Linked DNA regions of Xenopus tropicalis. The protein of the gene in region 1 interacts with the protein of each later gene in a biochemical or structural test. Links are inferred from orthologs where the notes say so. Each region holds a gene or a part of one and is shown on either strand. Other genes may lie near its edges.

Region 1 (7,627 bases):
GAGTAATTCTTCCCCTAAACAAATCACCGGTAAGGCCCCATCTAGAATATGCCATGCAGTTTTGGTCTTCAGTGCTCACATTGGATATTATTGAGTTATAAAGAGCCCAACAAAGGGCAACTAAGCTGGTAAATTGTGTGCTTATTCTCAGTTATTAAAAACACCTGGCCAAGTAAGGGCTGTTTATCCTGCAGAAGATGTGTCTGAGGGGAGAAATAAAAACTATGTATAAATATATATAGATATCATATAATAAAATCTCTGATCCTTTATTTAAGAGTCGGTCCCAGCAAACATAAGAGCATCCACTGAAGTTAGAAAAAAAGGTGGTTTCATCGTAATATTCAAATTGTGCTTTTCTACAGCGACAGCTGTGAAGTTGTGGAATTTTCTCCCTGAATCAGTCGTACTGCCAGATACATTTGCTAGCTTAAAAAAAAGTGTTGCGGTACTTCAATGGCAGGAAAGCAATTATCCTATCCTGGAAACTAGCCACAGCCCCCACCCTAAAACACTGGAAATTTTTGGTTAACGAAGCTCTCCAACTTTACAAGCTAACCTATATGAGCACGAGGTGCCCAGATAAATATAAAAAAGTCTGGGGCCTGAGGATAGATGAATTTGCAACAGCCACTGACCAAAATAACACCCAATATGAAATAGTGTATAAGTGCTCTGTTATTTACTGACCCTCGCCCCACAGCCTGCCTCCCCCATCCCCCAACTCCTCACTTATATCTTCCTATAAGATGTTAAAATTGTTTGACCAGTTGCTGGTTGTTCCAGTCCTATTCAGCAAACTTGGGTAGTATCAAATTATTGTCTACAAGAGGATGACCAATGTATCTTAGATCTGACAGTTACTGTTTGTTAATGGTGTACTGAAAAAAAAAAAGAATAGGTTGGATGGCTTTTTAGTAAGTAATAAAATGCAGGAATACTTGGGAGTCAGTAAAAAAAAATTTCTCCACTCTGTGGAATATTAGAGATAGGGTTTTCAGCCTTCTGGATCATATAGCAGTTGTGAAGGTTTCATTTAGAGACAGAAAAGTTGAACTCAATAAACTGTTCATCCTAAATTACAATAATACTATTACCTGGGTATATTCTCTGCACTCCTGGCTCTGTTACATGCAAGGGGCAGTTTAAAAAAAAACAAAACAAAAAAAAACAAAACAAAAAAAAACATTCTTGAGTATAAGAACAATTTAAAGATTCATAGAATATAGTATTTTTTTGTTTCTTTAAAAATGTACAAATGATCATTGTTGCGCACACAGCCTGCAGGAAATTAGATGTGACACTGATTAAGTGTCAACTGAAAGGAGAAGATGCTTTCCCTTGAGATTACATTTAAATATGAAAGCGAAGCTTCTATTTGGTATACTGGCAAACATCCCAGCATTTGGCTGACTCAGTATGTAGTTGAAACAATCCCTAGTTAACAGCACACTTTATGAAATATGGTATTTCTTCCAAAGGGGTCCATCCTGTTCTGTGTATAGATCACCTTTCTGGCGACTTCAGCTGCCATAATATTTGAATAACAATAGCCATGCCAGGAGCAATGGTGCAACTTAGATTTAAAAAAAATGATCCAGTAATAACTGTTTTTATTGGAAAAGATCATGGGGGAACAAGCACAACTATGATATTTACAAGAGATATAACAATCTTAATGGGTACTACATGGAACTAAATCTTTGCATTTCACTCTTTGAATTTCCATTCCTGACGACACATAGGGCAGTGCTGCTGCACCTGCTGGGAATTCAGCCATTTTAAGATGCAATGCATGTGGAAGCAGTGAGAGCAGTGACCCCACACCAATGGGCAGTCATCTCCTGGGATTTTACCTGCAAGGGCAAGAGTGAGAGACATTGAAGTATAGTGGCGTATAGGTGTCCTGAGAAGAACAGTGTTGTATAATATGAAGTAGTAAGTTATAAGGGGTGGTTCACCATTAAGTTAACTTTTAGTATGTAATAGAATGGTCTATTCTTAGATTATAGTTTTTGAATGATATGCCTTCTGCTAACTCTTTGCAGCTTTCAAATGGAGGTCACTGACCCCAGCAGTCAAAATCAATTGCTCTGTGAGGCTACAGTTTTATTATTTTTGTTACTTTTTATTGTTTATTTTTATATTCAGGCTCCTCTGTTCATATTGCAATCTCTCTTTCAAACCACTGCAAGGTTGCTAGGTTAAATTGGGACCTAGCAACCATATAGCCACTGAAAGCCCAACCCGAATTGCTGCTGGACAAGCGAAATAATTAAAAAACCCCAAATAATAAAAAATCAAGACCAATTGCAAACTGTCTCAGAATATTACTCTCTACATCATACTAACAGTTAATTCAAAGTTGAACAATCCCTTTAACTACTTGTAGGCATTATAGTACACTCTGCCTTGCTTTGCCATGTTTACCCTGTCTGCCCATTGCCTACCTACTTGCCTTGTTGTTTACCTGTGCTGTAATACAACTTCCATCAGTTGGCAAGCATCCCTCCTATCTAGCTCTGCTTCCTACTTGGATCCAATTGCATTTATATTGATCAGTGGCACCTAAGGCTCTTTTGACTCTCCTGCTCATGACAAGAAAGAAGTCAGCTGCATAAAGCCATAGGAAACAGCATGTTTTTATAGGAGAACTATACCCCCCGGGCGCAAAAAGCACCCATAACTATCACTGCCTAGACCCCTTCAACTCTCCCTAATCACATTGTTTTTAAGTTTAATGCCCACCACCTTCTTACTGACTGAAGACTCTTTGGGTCTCACCGCAGACACCGAACCTGCTTGCACATGTGCAGTTGAAGTGGATTTCCTGTTACCCCCAACTGCGCATGCACAAGCAGGTTCGTATCGGCGGAGAGACCCAAAGTGTCTTCAGTCAGTAAGATGATGTTGGGCAGGTAGGCGGCTGCGCTCCTCTGCATTATTAGCTATTGGTTAGAGATAGGGACAGACATTAAACTTAAAAACTTTGATAAGGGAGAGGTGAGGGGGGGGGGGTCTAGGCAGTGATAGTTATGGGTGCTTTTTGTGCCCAGGGGTATAGTTCTCCTTTAAGGAACCACATATTATTTGATGCCATAATGATTTAAAGGAGAAGGAAAGCCTAAGTCACTTGGGGGTGCCTAAATGTTAGGCACTCCCAAGTGACTTTAATCGCTTACCTTGTACCCTGGGCTGGTGCCCCTGTTAGGAGAAAACAGCACCAGCCCGGGGTAGCTGTAGCGCTTCCTTCTTCTGCGTTTGCCCCCTGCAATTAGAGTGAAAAGATGAACTTTGTTGTTAAAGTTCAGCTTTTCACTCTAATGCGCATGCCCCGGGCCAGGGAATTTGCCGCAGAATAAGGAAGCGCTGCAGCTACCCCGGTGCTGTTCTCTAACAGGGGCACCAGCCCGGGGTACAAGGTAAGAGATTAAAGTCACTTGGGGGTGCCTAACATTTTGGCACCCCCAAGTGACTTTGCCTTTCCTTCTCCTTTAAAGTGGTTCTTTATTTTAAACCTAATGCCAGAATAGCAGGGTGTCATGTTAGGATATCCCTATTAGTCAGAATACCTACAGCCTTGCTTACTTCAGAACAAGCAAGTAAAAACAGTAAAATGAGAAACAAAAATCATTTGTAAAGAAGCGAGGAATCTCCAATGTAACACTCACAGGCTTGTGTGCTAGCGGATTAAATATGTACAACTGTTCTAACATAAGGGATCCTCATTAGAATGTAAAGGGCTCCAGACTATAGAAACCCTGGCACAGGCCATGAAGCCATGTAGTAAGCCCCATTACAGGGCATGTACATAGGCCTATGCTCCTCTGAGCACTCACATTCAGGGCAGCAGCCATTAAATGCCATACGACAGATCCCACAGTTGTCATCATTAGCCACCCATTGCCAAGAGGCAACGCCATTCCAGCACTTCAAGCGAACCTTCATGACGAGCCTGGAAAACAGAAGCATATTGTAATGATGCACACAATCCTCATGAACTAGAATGCACAGGCCCCACTATGTGCAACTGCTAAGGGCCACACACAGCCTGCACTCCCATAATAAAAACACATAAAACCCATATCGCTACTTACACCTCCTGCAAATATGCTTACAGCCTCCTCACAGAGGACGAGCGTTACGACTACACGTAGCGCAGTGACGCACACGGAGCCGCCCAGTGGGCGTGGCCAATCGGTGTAACATAAGAGGGAAGTGCTGCTCGGTTGCGGTACATTCTCTCATCAAAATCTGTTCTTATTCTGCTCGCACCTTCTATTGTTTGAAAACAGAAAAGACGACTTTTGTGTTGTTTATCGCCATGGCTTGTGGCACCTTAGCTCCCAGTCTCCTTACAAATCATTTGTATTGGCTGTACAGAGCTTCTGCTTGTGCCATCAGAGAGACCTCTCCCGAACTGACCCAAATGGGAAGACGTTTTGTGCAAACTAGGGCAAAGTGAAATTGTAATCATTCTAGATTTTTATTTTAGTTTAATCCACGTTTATTGAACGTAATATGAATTGCAATAAAACTCAAACTCACAGATCTGCTTTACCGAGGCGTAATTATCCTAAAACCCTTTATGATTATATAATACCTTAATCTCAGGTAGCAGTTTATCTCGAAGAGTCAGCGACACACAGATTAATACTTAGTTCAACTGAAATGATAGCAGATAGATATTAAGTCCTGTTAAACAAAAGAATTTTGTAAAGGTCCCCATACAAGGCCGATTATAGCTGCTGATATGGGTCCCTTGGACTGATTTGGCAGCTTATCGGCCTGTGTAGGGGCAGAACCGAGGGGCCTGGCCTACCGATATCTGGCCTGAAATTGGGCAGATATCAATCGCCCAGGTTAGAAAATTCAGTCGGATCGGGGACCGCATCGGCTCGTTGATGCGGTCCCCGAACCGACTGCCCCATTGCTGCCCACATAATCCGATCGTTTGGCCCTAAACGCTCCCCGGTATCGCCCGCCCGTAGCGTGTATGGGGACCTTAACTGATCATAACACACATAGGGGCACATTCATTAAAGTAAGACAGGTCCGATTACAAAAAATTTGTACCAATTTTTGATCAGAAATTATGTTTTCTTGAAAGTACTTGACATATTTCTGATTGTCTTCTCTAATGGTGCATCTTTGTGTAAATTTATCCAAGTATTTTTGTACTTAAAATGACACATAATATTCTCATAATAGAAGACAATGGCTGCTAATCTATCAGCATGCCTGGTAAGCAGCAGACCATATCTGTTGACATCATTAAAAAAAACACCAGCTACACAAAAGATGCACAGACACACAGGATAGACCTGTCTTCTCCCGACATCCAAGGAAGAGCCCATAGGTGTGGAACAACAACCTTTTTACCTGCAGTAGAAGTTCTGCTCTAAGCTGCCACCTAATTACCTAACTGGCAGGGAATATTAACCCTATCTGCACTAGGTATCCACTTTATGTAACCTGTATTTCATACAAGTTAAAGGCATGCTTCCCTGTACATTTTCATGCCAGGCAGAATTTATATATAAATATATTAGTAGTTCTGTGGTGCAGAAATAATTTGTTGTGTATTAATTCTAGTGCCAAAATAAAAAAAAATAATTAGGACAAACAAGTTGGGAGGACCCAATTAACTAAATTAAATAATTTTTCTGGGACTGCCGCCAAATAGAAAAAAAGGCTATTGCAGAGTGCTCTAAAGAAACCAAGCAAAATCTTGTGTGTGGAGCAAATCCTTCTTCAAAATGTATGTGGTGCTCCATTTGGAACTACTCATAGAAGAATATCTGCACTTAAAACAAACAAATCCAAATGGCACTCACTTCGCTTAGCAATGTGCAAACAATGTGTAGTTTATTTTTCTACTACCATGTTTTTTTCTTATTTTCAAGCGCTAGCATAATAAAGAAATATAGTTGCAGTCGCATTTTTCACACAAATGAAAATCACACTGTTCAAACTGAAAATTTTGACTATTATAATCTGTGGGGATTTTTTTTCCTGCATTTTATCTTTAATAAATCACAACTTTAAATAAATTCTTGAGTATATTTGTGTTCATGTTTTTTTCTCAAATACCGAAAAACTCTGCCACTGTTCTATTGCATTTCAAAAAATGCACATAAAGATGTGCAAACTATAGAGCACTCAAAACTATTTGTTGTATGTTTAGAGAGCCAGCAAACGTTTATGGGTTGCCCCCTTCTTCAAGTGCTCTCTACAACCATGTAACCAAATGCCAGTATTTAAGGGATAGGCCCCACCCCAACCCACCCCCCAAATATGTGACCATACAGTGAAGAAATACAAATTCCTTACTTCCATAAAGAAATTTTTTTGTCATAAATCAAAGTATAGGGGCACATAGTCAGTTCATATTTAAGTCCAATAGTCAAGTCATATTAGAGACCCAATCAGTGCACTTAAAAGGAAGAAGTACATAATAAACTTAAAGATTAAATCATGCATCAATGAATAGTACCTAGATTACAAAGGAATGTTCAAATCCTGTATACCAAAAGAATTAGACCAAATTTACAGTAGAAGAAGCCTGAATAGGTAATGTTTTCATTGAATCCCTTTGGTGACAGGGTGTCCAATCTGCCTATCCACATGGTCTCCTTCTGTAGTAGCACCCTATTATGGCAATTGATAATCTGACACCACTTCCTCTTCCACCAACAGTGAAGCAGAAGGTGTAGGAACCCAATGTACACCAGAAAGGAATCATAGCCAAATCAGGCGAGGTAACACTGAGAGGAGTGTTTTTTAGGCAGAAATCTAGTGGACAGTTCTGTACCACAGGAGCAACGGTGCAAAGGTGGACAAGTTGGGGAAGGTGCCATTCATCAACCCTCAGCAGGTCCTACCAGAGCCAAAGTCAAAGTTGGCATAATTGATAAGGACACAAAAAAGAGTTTTTAATCATTGAATACCCAATGAAACCTGTACTGTACTTACTTAAATCCCCCAGGACTTGATAGCTGCATGTTTCTATGCACTGCTGATATATAATTGTTGTATACCAGCATGATGAAGGCTTTATGTACACTGTATATTTTTGGATATGAGTCGTGATTGCTAATATTTGAATTACTGCGGTTTATATTAACTTAAAATTATTTCAAATTTGGAAAAGAATTTTATGTACAGACACAGGGAACAAGCATGGGCAGTAATGTGGCTCCTAGCTACGCTAACATATATGTCTTGTTCATTAAACAGCACATCAGGATCATGTAACAACCCCATAAAGATGATTTATTACCCCCCCCCTTATTGCACAATAACCCTCTCACAGCCACACATATGTACATGCAGGCAGACTCACATTCAGCCTCTCTCACACACACACAGCCATATTCCCCCTCTCCTTTTTCACACAGACATCATGTGACCAGGCTGTGAGTCAGACCCAGAAGAAAATATACAATATGCAATAAGATTCAGGCTACAGCTGCCAAAGATACTTGCAAAGTTATCAGAAGTAATCAGAGGCACAGAATCAAGGGTACATGTGGTGCTTGGTCTTACCTTACTTGAGGGGAAAACTCTAGGGGCCTGGCAAGTGCCCACATCCTTTGGCTAATCTTTTAAAGGAGACATATTGGAT
Region 2 (7,478 bases), on another chromosome or scaffold:
TGCTCAGTCCTAGACCGACATAAACTACTGGGTTCTACCCACATACCCTACCCCTCTGGGCACACCCTCTGTTTAGTAGCTGCCTTAGGGGCAACCGGTACTGTCAGCAATCCCTCCTTGACTCTGACTACCCGCCCCCCTCCCAGTACTTGTTCTGGCACTGCAGCTATACCTGGCTCCCAGCTACCATCCTTGACCCCAGTCTGAGTGGCACTACTTACTAGGACCCTACTCTGAGTCCTAACCACCTGTCCCCCACACTCCTGCACTGACTCCTGAGTCTGGCCTATCTACTGACCCCCACTCAAGACCTCAGGCAGTTTGGGTACAGGATCAGGGATCCCATGCTGGTTATCCCTCACTGCAGGTAAACTACCTGACTGCACCAGGGAGACTCCTAGGGGAAACCTCTCCTCCCCCTCTCCCTCCTTACCCCCACTTTGGGACACTGCTGTTTCAGGCACTGTTTGACACTCTCTCCTGTCTTCCAGTCCTCACTCCCAACTATCCCTCCGTACCTTACCAGTGGCAGTTACTGATTGAGTTGAGTGGTCACACTCCAGCGCGGCTGGACCTAGTGAGACCTGGTCATTGGGCACAAAAGCAGAGAACATATTCCCCAAATCATTCCCTAACAATACATCGACAGGAATCTCATTGGACACTCCCACTTCCCTTAGACCTCTCCTCACACCCCAATCCAAGTACACCTTGGCCACAGGCACCTTTGGGTGGTCGCCACCCACCCCCTTTACAGACAAAGTCTTCCCAGGAATAATGTCCCTAGTGTTGATAATCTCTGGACGCACCAGAGAAAAATTGGACCCTGAGTCTCTTAGGCTTAGGTTTTTGCTAGTTCAACACCAGGTGGATTCACGGCCTCTGGACAGTCGACATCTGAGGCTCTGCCCCTATGCTCCTAACTGCTTCCTAATGTGCCTGCACCTGGGGGTACTCTTTCGGCCTGGGTGCAGGCATATGGATCAGGTTTCACTGAGAAACTGCATACTTCATGCCAAAATCAGCAGCCCCGTGTAGCCTGATGCAATGACTCCGGGTGCAGGCATATCAGTAAGATCAAACCTCCCAACATTTGAAAAATGAAAAGTGGGACAAAAAGATTTGGCGCGCACAGCGCGGCAAATTTCTTTGACCACGCCCACTTTTGTGGCCATGCCCCAATTGCCCCATTTTTTTTAAAAAAAAATACTTATTTTATATAGTTGAAATGGTGGGATTAGACACAAAATGTGCTTTACCCTCATACAGTACTACCTAAGGAAAACAATATAGCAACTCCTACATATAAAATACAAATATAGAGAGAAGGCAGTCAGTTATACATGAGTTATAACTATGTACCAGTTTTGCACCCCCCCTTAAATAGTTCCCCCAATGGCCCAATAGACAGTACCCCCCATACACAGTGCCCCCATAGACAGTACCCCCCATAGAAAGTGCCCCCAATTGCCCCATGGACAGTACCCCCAAAGAAAGTGCCCCCATACACAGTATCCCCATAGGAAGTACCCCCCATACACAACCCCCATAGTAAGTTCCCCCAATTGAGACAGTACCCCCCATACAAAGTGCCCCCAATTGAGACAGTACCCCTCATACACAGTGCCCCCCCATAGACAGTACCCCCCATACACAGTGCCTCCTTCTTCTTCAGCGGCTCCTCTCCTTATGCGGCTTCTTATACGGCGGCGACAGGCCCTTTTATAAGGTTGTGCCCCGTGCGTATGTGTGACGTTAATACGCACGAGGCGCAACCTTATAAAAGGGCCAGTCACCACCGCACAAGAGGCCGCATAAGGAGAGGAACCGCTGAAGAAGGAGCACCTCCCACTGAAATAAAGTGCCCCCATAGACAGTACCCCCCATACACAGTACCCCCCATACACAGTACCCCCATAGGAAGTACCCCCCATACACAACCCCCCATAGTACATACACAGTGCCCCCATAGGAAGTACCCCCCATACACAACCCCCCATAGTAAGTTCCCCCAATTGAGACAGTACCCCCCATACACATTGCCCCCAATTGAGACAGTACCCCCATACACAGTGCCCCCAATTGAGACAGTACCCCACATACACAGTGCCCCCCCATAGACAGTACCCCCCATACAGTGCCTCCTTCTTCTTCAGCGGCTCCTCTCCTTATGCGGCTTCTTATACGGCGGTGACAGGCCCTTTTATAAGGTTGTGCCCCGTGCGTATGTGTGACGTTAATACGCACGAGGCGCAACCTTATAAAAGGGCCTGTCACCACCGCACAAGAGGCCGCATAAGGAGAGGAACCGCTGAAGAAGGAGCACCTCCCGCTGTCACGGATACTTCAATGAATGTCCAGCATTTCCGTAATCTATTACGGAAATGCGGGACATTCATTGACCTATCCGGGACAGCGGGATGCGCTATTAAAACCGGGACAGTCCCGTGGAAAGCGGGACAGTTCGGGGGTATGGTAAGATCTTTACCCCCATATGTAATGAAAGGCACTAAGTTTACCCATTAGCAGTAACCCATAGCAACGAATAAGATGTTTGCTTTTAAACAGGTGACCAGTACATTTTATTTGCTGGTTGGTTGCTATGGGTTACTGCTCCTGGGCAAACATAGTGCAATTAACTACATAATCCCTTTACAGAGCTGTCAGCTATGTTAGCAGGGGGAATTGGAGCCTGAAAATTTGTTCCTGCGCCCTAAATTCATCACTGAACTTTGTTTGACTTCCTCAAAATCGGGAGAATCCTGCTGGGGGACAAGTGACCAGGGAAGAATCTTCAAAATCAGGTAACTCTTGAAGAAATGGGGGGGGGGGGGGGAGGTTGACAGAGCATAGGGGTGGATTTGTGTGGCACTAGCCTTATATAGGCCCTCTACCGTTTATATTCTATTATCTCTTCAACATAGCTTTCTGATTGGTATGGGGGGAAAAAATTCAACAACCACAATGAATAAAACATGCAAACCAATTACAAATTGTCTTTTAATTTTACTGTCTGCATCTTAAAAATATAAAAATTAAAGTTAAAACCCCACTAAACAAACTTTTAAACATGCAAATATATAGAAGCCACATTTATGCAGAGAATACTATAGAAATCTTTGAGTGTATTGTATCCAAACGTGGAGAAAAACGTGTCTGTAGTTTTGCAACTGCCTTCCCCTTTCACAACGATTCATGATATCAAAGCCGTTAGTAAAAGGGCGGGGAGCTTTACAGGTCTTCAGCCAATGGGAAGACAACTTTGTGTTTAAAAGCCGCAGGACTGGGTGCTGCACGGTCAAGTCTTTGAGAAGTATTTTCAGGTGACGGCTACTAGACGCGGCTTCTCTGTTTTGTGGGTGGCTACTGATTCTGATTTCTAGCTGGCCTTGTTTGGTAACCGCAAGAAGTTACAGGTAGTTGTGGATGCTTGATTAAATTTCACTTTCCCAGCCTGGTGCTTTGATGTTCTTTACTCTTACCGTAAGTCACGAGGCGAACCGGCGTTACTTTCTTGGTCCGTGAGCAAGCGTAACGTTGTGTCGTGTGTTGCCTTTGCGCTGGCGGGTAAAGGCCGTTTGTGTGTGTGTTTTTTTTTGTTTTTTTGTTTTAACTTGCAGTTCTGTGTAGTGGCGTATATCTAGCCAAATCTATTGTCTGTAAGTTTAACTGTACTGCTTATGACTCTTGTCCCTAGAGACATCCAGTGACTGAAGTGGGGATGCAGTAAACGAGGGTTTTTTTTCTCTCCCACCCTACACCCAATCCCATATTTTATTGATTACAGCACAGCTTTGAATTATGTATTCCGATTGAGTGTTCTTAAAGGGCAAGAAACCATAGACTCAGGGGGCACTAATGTTATGTACCCCATGAATTGTAGTTGTTTGTTCATTGCCCTGTTCTTCATTTACGTGAAAATAGCTCTGTGCCACATTATACCTTTTCCAAATGGCTCCCTAGACTTTCATAAAATGAATTTTTTTTAATTTTTTTTTTTGCGCTTATGGTACATGGCTAGACAAACATCTAGCTTTTTGACCTCTTACAAGACACAAAGCTGAATATTTTCTACTTTGCACTTTCTTGCATTTTGTCTCTTATGGTACAGGTATAGGACCCATTATCCAGAATGCTCGGGACCAAGGGTATTCCGGATAAGGGGTCTTTCCGGAATTTGGATCTCAACACCTTAAGTCTACTAAAAAATCAATAAAACATTAATTAAACCCAATAGGGTTGTTTTGCATCCAATAAGGATTATTTATATCTTAGTTGGGATCAATTACAAGGTACAGTTTTATTTCTACATAGAAAAAGGAAATCCGTTTTACAATTCTGAATTATTTGATTATAATGGAGTCTATGGGAGATGGGCTTTCCGTAATTCGGAGCTTTCTGGATAACGGGTTTCCGGATAAGGGGTCCGATACCTGTACTAATGTCTAGCTTTGTATTGTGTTCTAGAGATTATTCCCACTGCAATCCACCTTGTCCTACACAAGGGGGAATTCACAAAAGTGGTGATAATGAGACAAAATAAAAGTGGAGGGAGATTTGTTGGATTTTCCACCTAACTCTCAAATCTCTATCTCCACTTTTGTGAATTTGTTTTTTAAACAGGCAGCTTTCAGATTTTGTCCTTTTGCCAACATTTTATAAATTTGCTTTTAGCTCTTCGTAAATCTGTCGTCATCAAACCCAGTCCCACAGCTACATGAACCATGGAATAAGGATTTTGCCAGCAGTATTTGTCATTTCATTTTGGGGGTATTTCCTGAAGGGAAACTATACATCATTTTCAAGACAAGCTGGGCTTTCTAATGTGTTCTATATTTGTGTAATTCCACTTCTGTAACAAGATTTAAGGGTCTAAATAGCTTCTTCTCTAGCCCCTACTGACCAGCAGCAACATGCTTGGTAAAAAGGGGCCCAACTGGACTAAGACCCACCAGGTTTTTATCCAGGGCCAGTCCAACCCCAATGTCCCAGTTTGGGTGCCAGTGTGTATGTGCTATTTTCTGATCACCAAGATGGCAGCTGGGAACAGAAGGGGCACAGCTAAAGGTGGGGGCCAATGCAGCTCTGTAGTTCTGGACATGCTATGAGGGCTCAAGTTAGTTGCAACAAGTGTCAGTGAAGTGATTAAAGAGGGGGGCACTGCTGCTAAAAATTTGCCTGGAGGCTTTACTTTTCCTTTAAATAAAAATGTATACAATGTTATTATTGCCTCATTGATTAAGCTAAAACAAGCATAATCATGCAAATGCGAGGGGGGGGGGAATGAAACATATGTGCAGTATGAAGCAAGGAGGGAAAGGAAGGGAGAATACCTTTTTTAAAGATGGCTGCCTGTTCAAGAAAACAATGTGAAGTAAGTGTGACTCAGTAAATATTTGATTAGGTGAGCCAAAAGTGTGGCGGTTTTACTAAACAATAGGAGGACTATTGGGCAGTATGCTTTTTATATTTTGACTTGCATTCTCCTTTAAAGTTTGGTGCATCCTCTTCAATTATTTCCTTTTTAAAATGGGTTTTTCATGAAATTTCTCTGAATTCTCTGGTTCCTCCTAAGGCTAATGCCACATGAGCATTTTCTCGGCAAGCCGAAGAATGCTTGCTGAGAATACGCCCCGCTACTGTAAATTTAGCCTACCTTGTGCCTGCACCCAAATGAATGGAATGGCCTCTGGTGCAGGCACATGTGGCAGATATCCGCGTAAAAATGTGAGCCTTCGTATTTTCGTCGGATATCGGCTACATGTGCCTGCACATTCATTCGGATTGGGGCGCAGGTAGCAGCGTATGGCTTTATTTTTGGCAAGCGTTTTTTGTCTTGTCAAAAATATACGCCATAAGCGAAGTGCCATTGTCCTAAACCATTGGGGAGGGGTTGGTCTTTTTAATTTGGAAAGCAAATGCATTATTTATTTTTTAAATAATTATCCCAATGAAAGCAAAAAATTCATAGGTTGTCCTGGGTTACTGCCCAGGTGCACATTTGCCCACTCTTTACAAATGAGCCTCTAATTATATTGACCTAAACATGAGTGGAACACCATTATGCAGGACAGTTATTGGTGCACTGGTAACTGTTTTTGCAAGAACCTAACCTGAAACAGCTTTGGTTTTCCTGTTTAAGTGAGGAAATGTTTTAATGTGATTAAAGTAGGCAAGTGTGTTCAGCACAAGCCTTGTTGTTTAAACTGTTTGAGTAAAGGCATATACTTCTCAAATTTTGTAAAGTAATATAATGTGGATCATAATGTTTTATCTAGACCTTGTGGACCTCTGTGTGACTGTTTGCATGCTAAAACCTTTGTATTATGACTAGGTTTCATGCTTGGCAAGTGTAATTCCTACAGCCCAATTGGAACTTTAATGGCAGGTCACATGGTTTGGTAGCTTATTGTTTATATAGCTACTACAGTACTGTTTTTATTGGTGCCAGACTAACTGTACAGACTGTAAATCGTAAGTCACTGAAGTAACTTGATAAAGAAATTGTAGCTTATAACTTGCTATAGAATTAAACAATTTTTTAATTGGTATTGAGTTATTTACCATTTGCCAGTTATCTGATGGGGGTCACTTGCACCAGTAACCAAATGTTCTGCTATTTTATACAGTCTTATTACCCTAGCAACCATAAACTTGTTTAGAAATTCCTTGAATATTCCTGTCTCAGTCTGTCTATGTAAAGGTGAACTGCTCCTTTAGTAGTAATGACCACTTTGCCATCTGTCATTTCTAGCTTGTTGGCTAAATTCTAAATACCCTGACTAGCCCCTAGTGGTGATTGCACTAATACTGCAGGTGTATTCCTGATTGCTTGACCTGCAACTGCACCAACAGCAATTACCAGTCTAGGATATGCAAGGGGTAATTTGAACATTTTTCCACCTGTGAGCTGTAAATCATGTGGGTGGCAAAACAGACACCAATAAAAAAAAAAATAAAAACATTTTTTTGGCAGACTAAGTGAGAATTTTATTCAGAGCTATACTGTGTTCTTAGAATCATAATGTCTGTAAAGCTTAATCTTTAAGATTGGATGGCAACTGACTGTAGTTTTTATGCTTTTAGCAAAATGGCAACTATAGTTTTTGTCGATCAAGAGAATGGTGATATTCGCAGCATGTTGCCTAAAGATCATGGAACATTCTTGAGCTGTAAGTATCTTGCCAGAACTGTAGCACACTTGGACTTGCATGGTTCAATTAATGGGGGGGGGGGACATAATCCATGGTAATAAGCTTGCTGAACATGTGGAGATATATATATATATATATATATATATATTAAAACAAAGGGTATAGCCGCAGTGACTTTACAGTTTGCAGGCCTTTTGGCATTCAGATACAGGATGTACTCATGGTTTAAACTTGCATGTTACTGGTCTAAATGCACAATTGCTGTCAGATATTGTCCAAAGGATTGACAGTCCTTTTGGCTCTTGTTTCATTTAAGGGAGACAT
Region 3 (7,428 bases), about 8.2 Mb from region 1:
CATCAATGGTTCCAATCCACTTAAATAGGTTATCAGACTCCGGGAATGCAGAAATTCCCTTATCCCCAGACATCTAGGGGAGAAAAAACATACAAGATCAAGTTTCCTAAAACCCTCAACAGCTTATTAAAAGGGGAATTCCACCCATACAAAACAAGCTTTTTAAAAAGTAAACAATTTCAAGCAACTTTGCAATATAGATCAACTTAAAACACAGCAGTTTCATGAATTTTAATGTAACATGGTTTGGAATGGCTCCATAAGCCTTGCCCCCTGTTCTCCTAATGATCTGGCAGACAAATGTGAGATTTAAATAAAACAGTAGTTGACTCTCCACCGCCTGCATCCTCTAAATCCCACAATTCCCTGCAAACATGTCATTAAGGAAAGGAACGCCACGGTGCAATGCATTGTGGATTATGTAGTTTCCACATGCTGTCTGTAAAATTTGGAAAGTTGTTACAATTTGTAACATCAATGTTTTAGTCCCTTCTCCCCTGCCAGGATTTCAAATGATGCAAGGAACTGTTTTGCAGATGGCTTTCAGCATATAAAAGTTATATTCATTTTTTGAAGGAACATATTACAGTGATATATATTAAGAGTTTTGGTGTTGTGTGTGGCTCTTACAAAACTTTGGTTGGTAAGTCAGAATTTCCCTTTAAAAAGTATAAAGCACAAGTACTATCCTCATTGTATGCACATAAAGTTTACACTCACCATTAAGGTCATCAGCTCCTGCTGTAACCTACGAGAGAAGAAAGAAAATAGGTGGGCACTTAAGCTTTGCTACAAATCACACTCACAATAAGAATTTGCTATGGGTGTGGCAGTCTTTGGCAGGCAATCTTTTCATGCATGGCCCTCTAAGAACAGCAGATCCCGGCAGAAGGGAAGAAGAGTCACTAGACATTAGGCTTTTTGAATGTTAATAACTTACTTGTTAAGCCCAAAATAATGGAGACAGATGCTAGCATTCGCCATGGAGGGATAAAGGCAGCATTATGGACAGCAGCAATAAATAATGGATGCCTCACGGTACAATATTTATGGCTATTGACAATAAGTATACATAATTGATAGGCTTCCTTAAGTAACTGGTAGTAAAAATAAGGGGCAAAGAGTAATTTTGCTAATAAAATTATAGCAATGGCAAAAGGACTAAGTGATTTAGAATTGGAATATTATGGTCATAGACAATATGGGTAAATAATGGATATCTACCAGCTGAGATGTTATGCTTCACTTGGTATTAATGTGCTTTATATGAATATAGGGGAGATTTATCAATTGGTTCTGTTGCACATAGAGGGACAAGTTAACCCTCTAACTAGTCACCATTGGTTTGATCTACATTTTCTCAACCTAATAGCCAAGTTTTTTTTTTTTTTTTTTAAACACAATACATACCTTATCCCTGTTTGGGCTTTAAACTATTCTGGCCAGCTGAACTTGCGGCCACCATATTGCCTTCCATTACATCTTAAAGAAGCTGTCCATCTTTGAGTTAACTTTAAGTATAATGTAGATAGTAATATTCTGAGAATTAAAAATGAAGACCAATTGCAAATTTGTAGATTATTTCAGCTTTTGCTTTTCAGCTTGGAGTTTCAGCAGCTATTTGGTTGCTAGGATACAAATTACCTTAGCAGCCAGGGTGTGATTTGAATGAAAGACTGATTTGAAAAGGAGAACACCTGAATAGAGAAATATAATCTGACAACAACAATTAAACTGTAGCTTCACAGAGCAATAGTTTTTTGGTTGCTGGGGTCAGTGACCCCTATTTGAAAGCTGCAAAGAGTTGGAAGGCAAAAGCTATAAAAAAAAATAAATGAAGACCACTTGAAAAGCTGCTTATAATTTGCCTTTCTATAACATACTAGAAATGAACTTAAATATTTAGCCAATTTAGCCATTTCTGCGCAGTAGCAGGCAGCTGGGGAAGTGGGAGAAGACAGAACCATCACTGGAGAAAACAAAGATTGCAGATCGGTGCAATCACAATCAGCAGGCAGCTATAGCAACCATAAACTAAGGTTGCCATTTGCTGATGGTTTTATACAGGGAAGGGAATCTGGAGGTCAACAGTGACACGCACTCTAATGAACAAAATCTCCAGTTCCTCTTCTGTGCATGCTCCACCAGGCTGATGATAATATTGACTCATTGCGTGAGTCCTATGTGAAGGCTTGGGCTCCAATGCTCATGTGTCCAAGGCTTTCACCAATGAACAGCATGGGCGGGTACGTCCACCTTTGCCGAAGCTAGTGTGAGACCCATCAGGTCTTGGCCTGGGGTCAAACCCAGAGGACTATGACACCAATCCATGGTGCACAAATCAAACAAGACAGGTGCTGAAGTGTGCGAGTGCAATGCCATGGATTGCCTTGGTAAGGCTCCAGCTGGCGGCCAAAAAGAAAAATGCCTCCCGCCGTCCTAATTGCCAGGGCAAATTAAGTTAAGCATAATTAAGCAGAAGGTGCATGTGCAAAGTCCCCAACTAAAATATGTCAGGCATTCCCTTATGGGAACACAGCTCCTCTGCTTTCATCAAGCTTCCGCCTGACAACCTAAAGGCCAGAGGACCAAGTGTTTCTCATTTCGATACTACACTTTGTTAGCCAAAAGGTCGTCCAGTCCGATAGACTGACCCATCTCAAAAAGGTGTGTGGCCACCTTTAGACATATGATTTTATTATTCTAGATTTAGACCAGAATCCTTTACCCCAAACACCCTCTGGCTACAGGACCATGACTGCAACCCCCCCCCCCCACCCCAGTGAATGGCACACCAAGTCAGTGCATTATCAATGTCTGATCCAGTTTCAGACAGTCTGAAGGCCCCATACATAGGCAGATAAGCTACAGACTAGGTCTGAAGTGGCCAAATTAGCAGCTGAAGTCTGCCTGGGATGGCATGTAAAATAACACTACCTTTGTTTAAGGCTTTAAGCAATTACAGCCATTGGGTGGGGGTGTCTTACATATTGCCTACCCCCCTCCCCAAGTCAATGGTGCTTTCCTTAATGGCCACACTTGCAGCAGAGTTGCCAGGTTGGTGTTTCTGCAAAATTGGGCTACCAATTTAAAGCCCTGGCAGGTTTCCAAGGTACAAACCCACCAAGGAACAGTTTGGGGCTATTTTTTGGAGCCTTAATCTACAGTTAGGATTAATATAAAACTACAATACCCAGCATGCAATTGGACAGTATAGATAGAGGCTCTGTTTTGTATTCCTTTTTGCTCTTTCAGGGTCAACCTGTATATTCTGCAACCTGCTCTATAGGGTATGTGATTGTACTATTACTTTCTGCTGTGATGTGGGGGCAGTTCTGCAGTTGATCATTAAGATATAACTCTCCGGATATCTTGGGACTGCTGAGAGTTGTAGTTCAGCACACCCATATGTATCTCATGTCTGGGGTTAATGCAACATTCGGAATCTAATTTTGTAGTCTTCCCAGCTGGACTGGGCACAGAGGTCAGGGAATTATCAGCATTCCCAGTAACTGGGTAGTGATTATACGCTTTAAAAAGGCATGTTTCCCATATATACTTGCACATTTTGGCCTATTTTTGGGCTACTTTCAGACTTTTGGACTGGTTTTAGAACTGACACTAAACTCTAAACTCATTTGACTGCAAGCTGGATCAGAACAATTTACTAACCATGGCAGCCACAGATCTGGACCAAAAACAGGATGTGACACTGTAGACAATGTAGCGGATATTAAAGGGAGTAGAGAAAACCTGTATATTGTAACTAAGCAGTGGAAGAGATACGTAAAATGAATGAAGTTTAGAAAACAGAGATATAGCTGCTATAAGCTGAATAAAATTTGATAGCAAAATATCTCAAGTGACCCATCTGAATTATACAGAGGGTGTGCCAAGATCCAGCTACACTGCCATCGCCATAAGCACAGCGGCCATTGTTCCCAAGAGCCGGCTCTCCTCACCTCTTTCCCACAGAGCCACGGGCGGCCGAGGTCCCCGACTCTTGTCCTTTCCTTGCAGTCACCGAGCTGGCCGCAGCTGGATCCACATTCTGTGAAGCCATCGGTATGTAAAAATGACAAAAACCGGGCCTTGAACGTTGCTGAGTATCCGGCTTCCACTCCCAGAGATCTTTGACGCTTCCTCTTAATTCTGTAACTAAACCTACCGCCCTCTATTTGAAATTTTTAACTTCTACACAAAGCGTCCAATCAGCGTCGCTTAAATATTTAATTTAACCAATCGGAATGCTCACAGAACGGTTTCCGCAGAGACTGGCAAGTTTGGTGTCGGAAGCGTAGGCGTTTTAAACAAAGGTACGGGATTGGCTAAAGTAGACTGCTATGCTTTATTGTGATTGGAAGAATTCCGTTGCCTATCAAAATAAATAAATAAATAAATAATACGTGTGTGGGAAAGTTCTGTCAGGAAAGAGTATTATCTTGAAGTTATACTTTTTATTATACTTTTTGTTTTTATTACGACGTGAAAAGTATAAAATACCTTTGCTCAAATTTCAATCGTTTGACGTTTTCTTGTAACAAGGATGTTAACTAACCCAGTCAAGTCATTAGAAGGAGAGCAGTACTTCTCTAATGTTACAGAGTAGTTGCCATAAACTGTTCCTGTCATACCACCCCTTTCCACCCCATGTAAAAGTCTGTCCAGCAAGGGGGAAACTAAAATAATCTTCCACTGAAGAGTCCCCATATGTGCTTACACAGAGCTGTCAACCCCCCTATATTTTTCTGAGTTACCCAATTTGGCTTTCTCTCCCATGTCTCTGGTCTGTTGATAGCATTCTGATTTTTCTCATTAAATTCATGCATGTGCATTCAGTGACAACATAGTGAGCATTTGCATATGCGCAATCAACAATTTTTCAGCTTCAAAGGTCAGTTATGCACATGTATTGACATCACTTCTGGTTAGCACGAAAAAATAACACTGCACATCCTTGACTATCGGAGGTTGACAGCTCTGCAACTCCCCCTATAATCTGGGTAGTTACTTAATTGCACTGTCCCTCCCCCAGTCTCCTGATGCTACAAGCAATTTCCCCAACTTTTCCTAAGGGCTCTGGCACACGGGGAGCTTAGTCGCCCGCGACAAATCTCCCTGTTCCCGGGCGACTAATCTCCCAGAAATGCCATCCCACCGGCGAAAGTGTAAATCGCCGGTGGGATGGCATACGTGGTGGCGCGATTTCACTGAAATCGCAGAAGTTGCGTTGAGAGGAAACTTCCATGCTCAACAGGCATCAAATTTAACTGAGAGATTTTGTATGGGTGAATGGTCAAAAATACCGCCATCGAGAACCAAGACACTCATCAAAGGCTATAGGAGGCGTCTAGAGGCTGTTACATTTGCAAAAGAAGGCTCAACTAAGGGGCCCATTTACTTACTCACGAACAGGCCGAATGCGTCCGATTGCGTTTTTTTCGTAATGATCGGTATTTTGCGATTTTTTCGGAAAATTATCGCGACTTTTTCGTTACCAATACGATTTTTGCGGAAAAACGCGAGTTTTTCGTAGCCATTCCGAAAGTTGTGATTTTTTCGTAGCGTTAAAACTTGCGCAAAAAGTTGTGATTTTTTCGTAGTGTTAAAACTTGCGCAAAACGTCGCGCCTTTTAAGTTTTAACGCTACGAAAAAAGCGAAACTTTTCGCGCAAGTTTTAACGCTACGAAAAAATCACAACTTTCGGAATGGCTACGAAAAACTCGCGTTTTTTTGCGCAAATCGTATTGGTAACGAAAAAGTCGCGATAATTTCCGAAAAGTCGTAAAGGCGCCGAAAAAATCGCAAAAAATACGAAAAAGTCGCAAAATGTTCGTTTTCCAATCGGAATTTTTCCAATTCAGTCGGAATTCGTGTCTTAGTAAATCAGCCCCTAAGTATTGATGTAATATCTCTGTGGGGGTGCCCAAATTTATGCACCTGTCTAATTTTGTTATGATGCATATTGCATATTTTCTGTTAATCTAATAAACTTTATGTCACTACTGTTTCCATAAGGCGCATATATATATATATATATATATATATATATATATTAAAAGGACGTTGCTACTTTGAAAGCTCAGCCAGTGATAAACAAAACTCCAAAGAATTAAGAGGGGTTCCCAAACTTTTTTTAATGACTGTTTGTATGTAGTACTCCATTTGGCAGTTCTGCCATTTGTAGAAGAATTGGGAACATAAATCCAAATATTACCAAATGGAAATCACTTGATTTCGCAATGTGCAAACAATGTGGTTTTAGTTGAGCTCCCAGCTCAAGTGAGTGCTGTTTGGGAATGTTTGGAATGATGCCTGATACACTAAATAATGGTAGATGGAATTGTAATGCAAACAAAGACACAGCTCACCTATAGTGCAGGGCTGGTCTTATAAACTGCAAGGCCAAATTGGAACCATTCTGGCGGGCCCCCTGCACAAAGTGTTGTCAGCTGGCACAGGGTTCCAGGAATGTATGGGTAAATAGTTCCTGCCTCTTACTATGTGACTGATGGTGTAACCCTTCCTTTTCACCACTTTCTCTTGTTCCATTGGCCCCCAACATTTCATGGCACAATGTGGGCCCCAAGCACTGTGCACTGACACGCCAAGCATACTACATACAGCGAGAGAGAGTGATTGGTCCCTCCAACACACTATACACAGTGAAAGGGGGGGTTTAATGTCCCAGAACACATAACAGTATTATTGGGCAATTATTGTTGGGGGCGGGATAGACAGCTTTATGTGCTTACTCCCCCTGGAGTGGGGCCCTATTGGGCCCAATAGGTTCAATTGACCTAAGGCTGGCCCTGCTATACTGGATTGGCAGAAAAAGGGCATATGTATGCAATAGTCCTTTTTAAAATCACAACCTTTTGTATTCTCAGCAGTGAGCCATCCACAGCAGCACCCGTCTCACCACCTATATATTACCTGTATATAAGCAGCAATTATCTTCCATCCATTTCCACTTAAATGTTTTTAGAGAGGTGTTTACAGCTTACTGTGTATATTTGACATAACTTTTCTTCATTTATGTGTGAGCTGCCACAGTTTGTTTTAGAGTCTAGCAAACAGCTACTGTACATAAAACACAGGTATACATGAGGCCCCTCCTCCTGTTCCAATGCCCCTTACATAAAATTGCATTAGTGATGCCCCTGTGGACAGTGCAGCTGAAAGACATCTGTTATGCCATGCAGCAATGTAGCTTGCCAGTCATATTCCCCTTCATTAATGCAATGGCAAACAGAATAATTTTTTCACCAGCTTGGGGGTGACGCCATATCCATTGAAATCACCTCCTATCACACACTACAGAATAGCCTGAAAGTGTTCTTTGCACTTAATCATCCCAGTGGCTGGCAAGTCTGAGTTATCTAAGCAAGTCTGCATATAACTGCATATCCCCAGCCTGTCCTCAG

Evidence for each region. The genes of interacting proteins can lie anywhere in the genome.
Region 2: of the proteins of anapc11 (region 1) and securin, one has a biochemical effect on the other in vitro, tested with the Homo sapiens proteins (3 studies listed by BioGRID). The link is inferred for Xenopus tropicalis from reciprocal best matches to the Homo sapiens genes ANAPC11 and PTTG1.
Region 3: the proteins of anapc11 (region 1) and ube2c form a complex in vitro, tested with the Homo sapiens proteins (66 studies listed by BioGRID). The link is inferred for Xenopus tropicalis from reciprocal best matches to the Homo sapiens genes ANAPC11 and UBE2C.

What each region holds. Positions count from the first base shown.
Region 1 is NC_030686.2:27,900,509-27,908,135, reverse strand, and holds anapc11 (anaphase-promoting complex subunit 11), read right to left. Parts: upstream 4,122-7,627; 5' UTR 4,098-4,121; intron 3,956-4,097; 5' UTR 3,949-3,955; coding exon 3,840-3,948; intron 1,857-3,839; coding exon 1,711-1,856; 3' UTR 1,597-1,710; downstream 1-1,596. UniProt on the Homo sapiens protein: Together with the cullin protein ANAPC2, constitutes the catalytic component of the anaphase promoting complex/cyclosome (APC/C), a cell cycle-regulated E3 ubiquitin ligase that controls progression through mitosis and the G1 phase of the cell cycle.
Region 2 is NC_030680.2:46,747,172-46,754,649, reverse strand, and holds the start of securin, read left to right. Parts: upstream 1-3,282; 5' UTR 3,283-3,416; intron 3,417-7,086; 5' UTR 7,087-7,090; coding exon 7,091-7,172; intron 7,173-7,478. UniProt on the Homo sapiens protein: Regulatory protein, which plays a central role in chromosome stability, in the p53/TP53 pathway, and DNA repair. Probably acts by blocking the action of key proteins.
Region 3 is NC_030686.2:19,652,369-19,659,796, reverse strand, and holds the start of ube2c (ubiquitin-conjugating enzyme E2 C), read right to left. Parts: upstream 4,197-7,428; 5' UTR 4,064-4,196; coding exon 3,963-4,063; intron 749-3,962; coding exon 721-748; intron 74-720; coding exon 1-73. UniProt on the Homo sapiens protein: Accepts ubiquitin from the E1 complex and catalyzes its covalent attachment to other proteins. In vitro catalyzes 'Lys-11'- and 'Lys-48'-linked polyubiquitination.